Coturnix japonica: one gene and its partner. The protein of the gene in region 1 purifies or fractionates together with the protein of each later gene. This does not show direct contact. Links are inferred from orthologs where the notes say so. Each region holds a gene or a part of one and is shown in the gene's direction. Other genes may lie near its edges.

Region 1 (4,365 bases):
CACCACCGTGTGTTCTTACAGCTGAGTTTAAGGACATATTTTTCTGTGCCACATGAACACCAGAATCAGAGCATTTTTCAGCAGTGTTGAGCACAAAGTAGTCCTAGTCATGGCTCAGGACACTAAAACACCATCATCATACCCAAAATGAAATATCATTTAGAAACATTGAATAGTTTTTTCAAACCAAAACCAAACAGGAAAACAATTAATGCCTCTTCTCCACAAGAGAGTTTTATCAAGGCCAATTAGGAAGTTATTAGAATGTATCAAAAAGATTGTAAGTAAAGAGCTGGTCACATTATAGTCTCATTTCTGTAGCCTGAGTTTGTTTAAAAAGGCCTCCAGGGTGCATAGTTTTATGACAGGGTGTGACTTTAATTACTACTTGTAACTTTGGAAGCTTTCCAGCACTACTGTACCATGCTGCCTCAGAGCACGATAGTTGTAGAGGGGAACTAGCATGAAAAGCCCTTCATGACTAGAATATATACACACTAACTGGTTCAACAGGGATTTGAGTGCAGTCAGAAGCTACACCTGACACGAACAGTCAGTGAAGTAACCTCCCATTTGCATCGCTTTTCTGGAAACCAGAGCACTTTTTATGCTCAAATCTGAATATAGAACAAAACTTAAAATCTGTATCCAAGCAGGAAACGCATAAAATTAATTCCCGGTCAGAAGAAAAAAAGACTGTGGAAAACCAGCCTTCTGTGCAGCTTTTTCTTATATTGCACCTTGCTCAGGTCTGCAACACAATGTGAGGGACAGTTCTTGCAGCGCTGTGCTCAGCTCTCCTTTCTTCTTCCATTTCCTATCACTGAACAAAAAAGGAGAAGGTCATTACTGAGCAAGAACTAAGACTAAAGGACCGACACATCCACTATTCCTCCCCTGCAGATTTAATTCTGACCACAGCTGCAGTCAATATCCTTCCCACCTGGTTTTACATCACACTTCAGCACTGATAGTTTTCTTTCCTTTAAACGATTTCTAAGGAGCAGAACATCTAAATGCAAAAGCTCATCTTTGCACAAACTAAGTTTTCCTTCTACACTCGTTATCAATGTCACAAAGCAACTACAGCTGAGCATCCCAGCAGCCCCCAACACGGCACCACTGATTCAAGGGATACAAAACCATACTCTGCCATGTAGCTTAGAAGCTACAAAGGACTTCAGGGCATCAATAAACCTCCTGTGAAGGTTATTAATGAAAGAGAGCAGCTGATGGCAGCGAACTGGTGGCTGTGGGCCGTGCCAGCCCACTCGCTCGGTGCCACCCGTGGATTTTACCTCAAAAATAAAATTAAATCAAATAATGAATTCCTATCAGAGCAGAGCAGGAAAATAACTCTGCAGCAGCAGTGATAACTCTGACTCTGACACATCTCAGCGTCTCCTGGCACACACAGACCACTACGGAACTACGGCTGGTACCGGCCCGGCCCGCCTGGATGCAGGGTCCCGGTTGGGCCTACACCGACAGTCCGCAGCCAACACGATCTAAAACACCCCGCTCCACCGAACCGGAACCAGCTCACATCCGCCATCCCTCCGCTTCCGGCGCGCTCCACTTCCGCTACCGGTGCGGCGGATCGCGGGTCGGTGCCGGTTCCGTTGCCAGGGTGAGGGGCCGCATCGCGCTGCCGCGGGTGGGGCTGGGGCTTCTGTATAACGGCTCTGCGGCCTCTATCGCCGTGAGGGGCCGGACCTGAAGGCTCCGTGCGCGGTAGCACCGGGCATTGCCGTGCTGGGGGTGCGAGGGGTGAGCGCGTCTCTCCTGGCCCCGCAACGTCCGCGGCACAGCGGGGCCTGCAGCCGCGAGGCCTCTGCGCTCCCCGTGTCACCGCCGGGACCGGCCTCAGCCGGGGATCCACGGCCGTTCTGAGCGCTCCGTCCCCGTTCCGTGCCGCTGCTCATCCCGCGGGTTGGGTTTGTCGTGCTCACGTTTTACGTTGCGGGGTGGAATACCCAGAAACATGGAGGTGTATCTCCCTCCCAGATCCAAGAACCACGCTTTATCTGCCCCAGTGCCCTTTTAACTTTAGGCTCTTGGTGGCCCTCGGGGCTCTGACAATGTCATCCATCTGACAATGACTAGAACAAACTTGGTTTCACTATCTTTCACTATCCCTTCTATACAACCCAGTCCATAGGAACTGAAAATCCCTGTGACTTTCTCTTTGGTCCTCATCTGTTCATTGAGTCACAGAATGGCTTGGGCTGGAAGAGACCTGAAAGATCATCTAGTTCCATCTCCCTGCCTGGAAACACTGATTCTATTGTCCACACCCAGTTCCATCAGTGTTTTGCACTGAATAAAGGTCATTCTGTTTGTTGTTTCTGATAACCTTCATCCTGAGATAACTGTACTTCTGCAAGGACTGGCAGCTGATGAGTGCTCTGCTTTATAGGGATCCTTTCAGTTTGAGGCCTGAGAAGTTTCCTTACTGCTTTTACTCAGTGCATTTGCTTGCAGAATGACTTCAGGCATGTGGTACAGTTGAGAAAGCAGGCCACAAACTCGTCTTTCTAAGCATAGAAATCTTGGTCTGAGGTTTATGGGCAGAGGTTATTTGTGATGAGCTAACACTGCTGATATGCAGCCTTAACCTCAGTTGATTCTCTTAATACTTCTAAGGCCATCTTTCACAGAATAATACTAATTCACAGGATAATACTATTCCCCGTCCAATTTGGGGATATTTGGAGATATTTTAAAATATAATAAAAATTGATTGTTCTAAAATGTATTCAGTTTGTTTTCAGGGATCTTAGAGGAGATAGTGAGGAAGAATGTTTTTTATTGTGCACAGCAGGCAGGTTGTATCTGATCCTCCATTTCTTATCTGATTTGAGCTTGGTGGGTATGTCTGAATAATTATTCAATTGTTCTTAACAAAGGATATTGTATAGGCAGGAATTACTTTGGATGAGAGCAGGTAACTGCTGAGAGCGATGCTGGAGAGGATGAGGAGTCAGACTTTTGAGTTCTGGCTTTTATTGGAATTGCCAGACCTGGATTGCCTGGTACAGTGCAATGCCTGGTACAGTTGAAGGTGGACACCCTCAGGTTTGGTTTTACTTTGTTTCTATGGCTCTTCTCCCTTTACTTTTTGGTCATCAATCTTTTAAGTGCGTTCTCACCATTAGTTGTGCAGAGGCCTTCTCTGGTTCTCTGACAGTTTGAAATGGCCTTTTCATACCCATTCCTTGATTCTCTGCTTCCAAACTTTGGCGGAAGAAAACATGTCTTTCCTTTCCCAGAAAGCTAGAAATCTTGCTTCTGTCTTTAGTGTGGGAATAAACCGTTGAATATAATTCACATAAATGATCTGGCGTAAATTAAAGGTAGTAATTACGATTATTTTGTCAGCACTGCAATGAAAGTGCAGTTCTTACAGTGTAATTGTACCGTGTAGGTGTGTATTTTGGCTTTGTTTTCAAACTGCTTTGATATTGCTACAGTGAGACGTGACCTGAGGTGTATTACTGCAGCTACTGCACAGATCTCAGTGAAAGTGAGTAGGGAAAGTGTTCGATCCACTTGAACTGTTGGTTCAGAACTGTTTTGGTTGGGTTTTTTTTGTGTATTTTAGGACTTGCTTACTTTCTGTTTAATAGCCACGTATGTTATGAGTGGTTTGATTGTGAAATTATTGCAGAGGACATTGAAATGACTTCTCTGATGCTGCAGTGCTCTGCTTGAATGCTGGCTGTGCTGCAAAAAGCTGTACCTGCACTGAACACACAGCAAGCGAGCATGTGCTACAGCAGACAGTGAGTGTGACACTGCTAAGTACATCAAAGTGGAACTCAAAGCCACAGCTGTAGTGCTGTTCTTTCTCCCTTAGTTTCACTATTGTATTAACATTTATCACCTGTGCATGCAAAACAAGCAGCTCACTGATGTACAACATCACAAAAATGTAAAAACAGACTATAATGTTTGTCTTCTGAAAAAAGAAATAACTACTCCTATTTCTTGCTTACATGATCATTGCATTTTTCTCCTCCAGCAGATTTTTCAGGAAATAACACTGAACATATGCTTCAAGGATGTCTCTCTCTCTCATAATAAAATGGGGAGGACAGGAGTATACGATAACCTCGCTATCAGAAGAGGACACTGTGTTGGATCTGAAGCAATCTCTTAAAGGCCTTACTGGAGTGTTACCAGAGCGCCAAAAATTACTTGGACTTAAGATGAAGGGTAATTATTTGTATTTATTATTTGTGAGATATTTAAGGAAGAGCATCCTCTTAGCTTAGTTAAGATGTGTGTATTAACAGAGCATCTACCTCCTAGATCTTGCTTTTGAATGAGCGCACACAGAGGGATCTGATACATCACTATGTA
Region 2 (4,607 bases), on another chromosome or scaffold:
ATGTTGTTCCTCTGAGCGGGCATCTGCTTCTTTTGCTCTCAGGCTGGGGAGGTTCGGTTTGCTGTGAGCTGACGTGACTTTGAGATCTGACAGTAGAATATGTTGACATTGCTACAACCGCTGTTCACATTTAATTAACAGCAACACTTCTGCAGGGTGCCCGCAGCCGCAGCTGTGCCGTGATCCCAACACACATCTCATAGACGTAGGTTGCTCTGNCCCTTTTCACATTTAATTAACAGCAACACTTCTGCAGGGTGCCCGCAGCCGCAGCTGTGCCGTGATCCCAACACACATCTCATAGACGTAGGTTGCTCTGAAAGTAGTGCCTCCTATTGCATGGAAACTGCAACAGATACAAAGAACACAAGAGCACTGGTGGAGCTACAGAACTTCTCCAGTTGTTTGGTTTTTCTGATAGAAGAGTTCTGTGCAGCCCCTGCAGTAAGTGCTGGTGCCCCATACTGGGGCTTTGGCTCTTGTTTCTGAAGTTCTCTTAGAAAGTGCATCCTTTGTACAAGTGAGCAAAGCAGAACCCCAACAAGCAGCCGGAAGAAATCATGGGTGGGACTTTTGTTCGCAAGTGAGGATGACTGATCTGACTAATTCAGCAGATTCAATTTGCATTACTGACAGAAAACACAGTTAGAAGCTGTATGAGCCCTACCTCCTGATAGCGCTGCAATGACGGGCTGATGGAGCAGAGTGTGCATCACAAAACTGAAGCTGCAGTTATTCAATAGAGGATGCGAACACAGCGAGATGCTTGTGCAGCATTAGATCACGGGGCTGCAGGAAACGACAGAGGGGGGATTACACTACAGCCCACAGCCAACAGATTAATACAGAGCCAGGACTTCACTGAGGAGCCTTTAAAATTAACATATCTTCTTCTTAATTCAGCATGGTGAAGCTCATGTCTCAGTGACTTCCCATTCTCCTACACCAACAGCAGCTCTCTCTACTCTCCCCTCTTTCTGCTTCCCTGAGCTGTCAGTCATTATGTGCACAGCTTTGCCAGGCAGCCTGTGCTGTCCAAGAATCCCTTACCCACACTCTAAGTAGTCACTGCAGTTTTTAGAAAGCACCCATATGTTCCTTTAGAAATACTACTGGGAAATAAGGGGACAGGGTTGTTTTCTGTATAAGGTTGTTTGTTGTATTCCTCTTTCTGTGGGAATTATTTCACTGTGTCTTCAGTTCATGGCTCACTGCATCCTGCAGAGCAGCTTTGGAACGAGCTCAGTGTATGTGAATGTGGCTGTAGTTAATGACGAAGCATTCAGCTTGTTCAGAACATCCTAAACCAGCAGTCCATCCGTGGGCTGGATCTGGGGTGATTCCTTCCCCAGAATCACAGGTGATTCACAGTCAGGTGCAGGATGGCCCGGCGCTGGCAGGACGGTCCATATCGGTTCCGTTCGGATGGCGGCACACAGCGGCGGGGCGCGACCCCCTGCGGCCGGCTGTGTTGGTGCCGGCTCGGCCGCCAGGTGCCGCCCGTCCCTCCCTCCCGCTGGCTGCTGCCGTCGCTCCGCAGTGACGCCACATCCTGGTTCCATCGTCGCGGCGGTTCCGGTGCGTTGCGGTGATGGTGAGCGGCGGGGCCGGCGGGGCTGGGGGCTGTGCGGGCTGTGCGGGCGGGGGGCGGCCGCCGCGGCGGTGGGAAGGGGGGGAGCGTGTGGGGACGGGTGTGAGCGCTCGGCGGTGCCCGGGGGACGATCCGGAGCCGCCGCTACCGACACGCGTTTTGCCGAGTCACCGCCCGAGGGATGTGGGGAGCGGCCGCGGAGTGTGCGGGGCTGTGATTAACGGGCCGTTGTGTTTGTTCCCATTTAGGGGCAAAGTCAGAGCGGCGGACACGGGCCCGGCGGCGGCAAGAAGGACGACAAGGTGCGGACATAGAGCGGCGGGCCGGGCCGGGCCGGCCTGGTGTTTTGTTTTCATTGCTCATATCCTGACTTTTTAATTAATTTTTTCCCTTGGAATTCTCTCTGCACATCAGGACAAGAAGAAGAAATATGAACCTCCAGTTCCAACCAGAGTGGGGAAGAAGAAGAAGAAGACGAAGGGACCAGATGCTGCCAGCAAACTGCCCCTGGGTAAGTGCTCGGCCTGCTGGGCCCTGCACAGCCCTGGCCCACCTGGCTGCAGGTGGAGCCCAAACCTAAAGCAGGAATTCTCCCAATGAACTAATGAATAGTTGATGGCGTGTCATACTTAGTCTGAAACGCTGTGGTTCTGCTTTGATTGCAGTGACTCCTCACACACAGTGCAGACTCAAACTGCTGAAGTTAGAGAGGATTAAAGATTACCTGCTAATGGAGGAGGAATTTATCAGAAATCAAGAACAAATGAAACCTTTGGAAGAGAAACAGGAGGTGAGTTTTGAGTGAGCTGCTAGTACTAAAATGACTGCTGGCGTGTAAACTGCTTCACACAAAGGCAGCATCACGACTGTGTAAGTGAACTTATTGCATTAAAATTTTACACTAAACATCAGTTGGTTTTCAGAAAGCAGGATTTTCTTCAAGCATTCTAATGCCTTTAGTTCAAACAGAGGTTATCACAGATGTGGCAGCAGCAATTTTTGGCTTCTTAGAAGTCTTAGCAAGTTCAGTAGAGGAAGGAAGAATATTCTTCTTGTGCCTAACCATGTAGTAATGTCCATAGAACTAAAACAGTCGGTTTTGTTACTGGCCTGTGGTTCTTTAGAATGTGCTGCCAGTGTTTGACTGTGCAGCACCTGATCTGAAGTTAACACGCAGACTCAGGACCAACCCAGCAGTGATGTTCCTACCTGTGCTCCTGAGTTGTTACTTGAATTCTTCTTGACAACAGGAGGAAAGATCAAAGGTGGACGATCTGAGGGGGACACCAATGTCAGTGGGTACCTTGGAGGAGATCATTGATGACAACCATGCCATCGTGTCCACGTCGGTGGGATCAGAACACTACGTCAGTATTCTGTCTTTTGTGGACAAGGATTTGCTAGAGCCGGGCTGCTCTGTTCTGCTAAACCATAAGGTGAGTCACGTGAAGTGAGATGAAAAGAAGCAGCACGAGGTCTGCTATTTTTAACTGGCATCTGTTCCAAGAGTCACATGATCACACGATCTCAGATTAATGCTGTTTATTCCGTACACTTCAACATGTGGGCATTGGGTTGAGGCTCGTTCTGGTGTTAATCGTGCTACTTGCTTTCTGACAACTCTTCATGCTTGAATTAGGTTCACGCTGTGATTGGAGTCCTGATGGATGACACAGATCCTTTAGTGACCGTGATGAAAGTTGAGAAAGCTCCTCAAGAGACGTATGCTGACATTGGTGGCCTTGACAACCAGATTCAGGAAATCAAGGTAATCGTGTGCTGACTTCCACTGCTAAGTGAGCTCTAAACTTGGCCATTATGACAGAAGTATGGAAGAGTAACAGCAGAGCCAGCTGCTGTTCACATGGTGGTGTTTTGCATCTTGCTCCTGCAGTTCTCAGTTCAGTTTCATTAGGCAGGCACCTGGACCTGGAAAAATGTTATAAGTTAGTAGCATCCCCATTCACAGACTGTGTGGCCAGAAACCTTTCACTCAGCTCTTTCACTTTGGATAGGCGTTCAGAGTCACAAATGTTCTTAAAGCATTCATCTGTGGTATCTGGTAGTTCATACTGGGAAGTGTCCTTTAACGAAGGGCCCTCCAAGTTTCTGGGGGGCTCCCGTAAACATTTGGGAGCCAGTCTGCAAACTTGGAGAGTTGTTGTGATGCCTGAGATGGAGGAAGGGGAACACTCACTGTTTCCATCTGTCACGTGGAAAAGAAGCAGTAGAAAGAGCTGCTTTAGGGTAGAATAGTTCTTACAATTTGAGGTATCCAAGATGCCTGTTTTTCAAGGCCTGTCTTCCAATTACTTTGTTTCTTTTTGCCTTTCTTACTTATATTAATGCAGTCCTTAGGAACTCCACAGGTATTTTGCAGTGTTCACTGCTCATGAAAACACTGGCTTGTTTTTCTCTTGATGCAGGAGTCTGTGGAGCTTCCCCTCACCCACCCTGAGTACTATGAAGAGATGGGTATAAAACCACCCAAAGGCGTCATTCTGTACGGCCCCCCTGGCACAGGTATCTGTGGCTTTGTGCTGAGCTAGCTCTAGTTAAGTAAATCATACTTGGTTACTGTTAAACCACTGCCAGGTCTGTCGCTGATCTCTGGCTTTTTTTTCCAGCCTGCAGACTAGTGACAATTATTTTTGTGATTAAAAACAGGTAAAACTTTACTGGCCAAAGCAGTAGCAAACCAAACGTCAGCAACCTTCCTGAGAGTTGTTGGTTCCGAGCTCATCCAGAAGTACTTGGGTGACGGCCCCAAGCTGGTGCGTGAGCTGTTCCGCGTGGCTGAAGAGCACGCGCCATCCATTGTCTTCATTGATGAGATCGATGCCATTGGTACAAAGAGGTGCGTGCCCTTCTTCTGCAGCTGTATCCACATCCAGTTTCTGAACTCAGAACCATTTCCATAGTAATACTTTAATTATAGGCAACCGAAGTGATGGGATATGAAGTGATGCTCATATGTGATACTGCAGTTACTAGCCTCCATCTCTGCTAGAAGGGA

What was found.
Region 2: the proteins of UBLCP1 (region 1) and PSMC1 purify together in Homo sapiens (affinity purification with mass spectrometry; 3 studies listed by BioGRID and IntAct, with this or other methods). This does not show direct contact. The link is inferred for Coturnix japonica from reciprocal best matches to the Homo sapiens genes UBLCP1 and PSMC1.

Annotation. Positions count from the first base shown.
Region 1 is NC_029528.1:12,396,229-12,400,593, reverse strand, and holds the start of UBLCP1 (ubiquitin-like domain-containing CTD phosphatase 1), read left to right. Parts: upstream 1-1,556; 5' UTR 1,557-1,630; exon of another isoform or gene 1,631-1,823; intron 1,824-4,024; exon of another isoform or gene 4,025-4,027; 5' UTR 4,028-4,064; coding exon 4,065-4,218; intron 4,219-4,365. UniProt on the Homo sapiens protein: Dephosphorylates 26S nuclear proteasomes, thereby decreasing their proteolytic activity. Recruited to the 19S regulatory particle of the 26S proteasome through its interaction with 19S component PSMD2/RPN1.
Region 2 is NC_029520.1:39,735,767-39,740,373, forward strand, and holds the start of PSMC1 (26S proteasome regulatory subunit 4), read left to right. Parts: upstream 1-1,506; 5' UTR 1,507-1,591; coding exon 1,592-1,594; intron 1,595-1,839; coding exon 1,840-1,893; intron 1,894-2,005; coding exon 2,006-2,102; intron 2,103-2,256; coding exon 2,257-2,381; intron 2,382-2,841; coding exon 2,842-3,027; intron 3,028-3,230; coding exon 3,231-3,359; intron 3,360-4,017; coding exon 4,018-4,114; intron 4,115-4,258; coding exon 4,259-4,448; intron 4,449-4,607.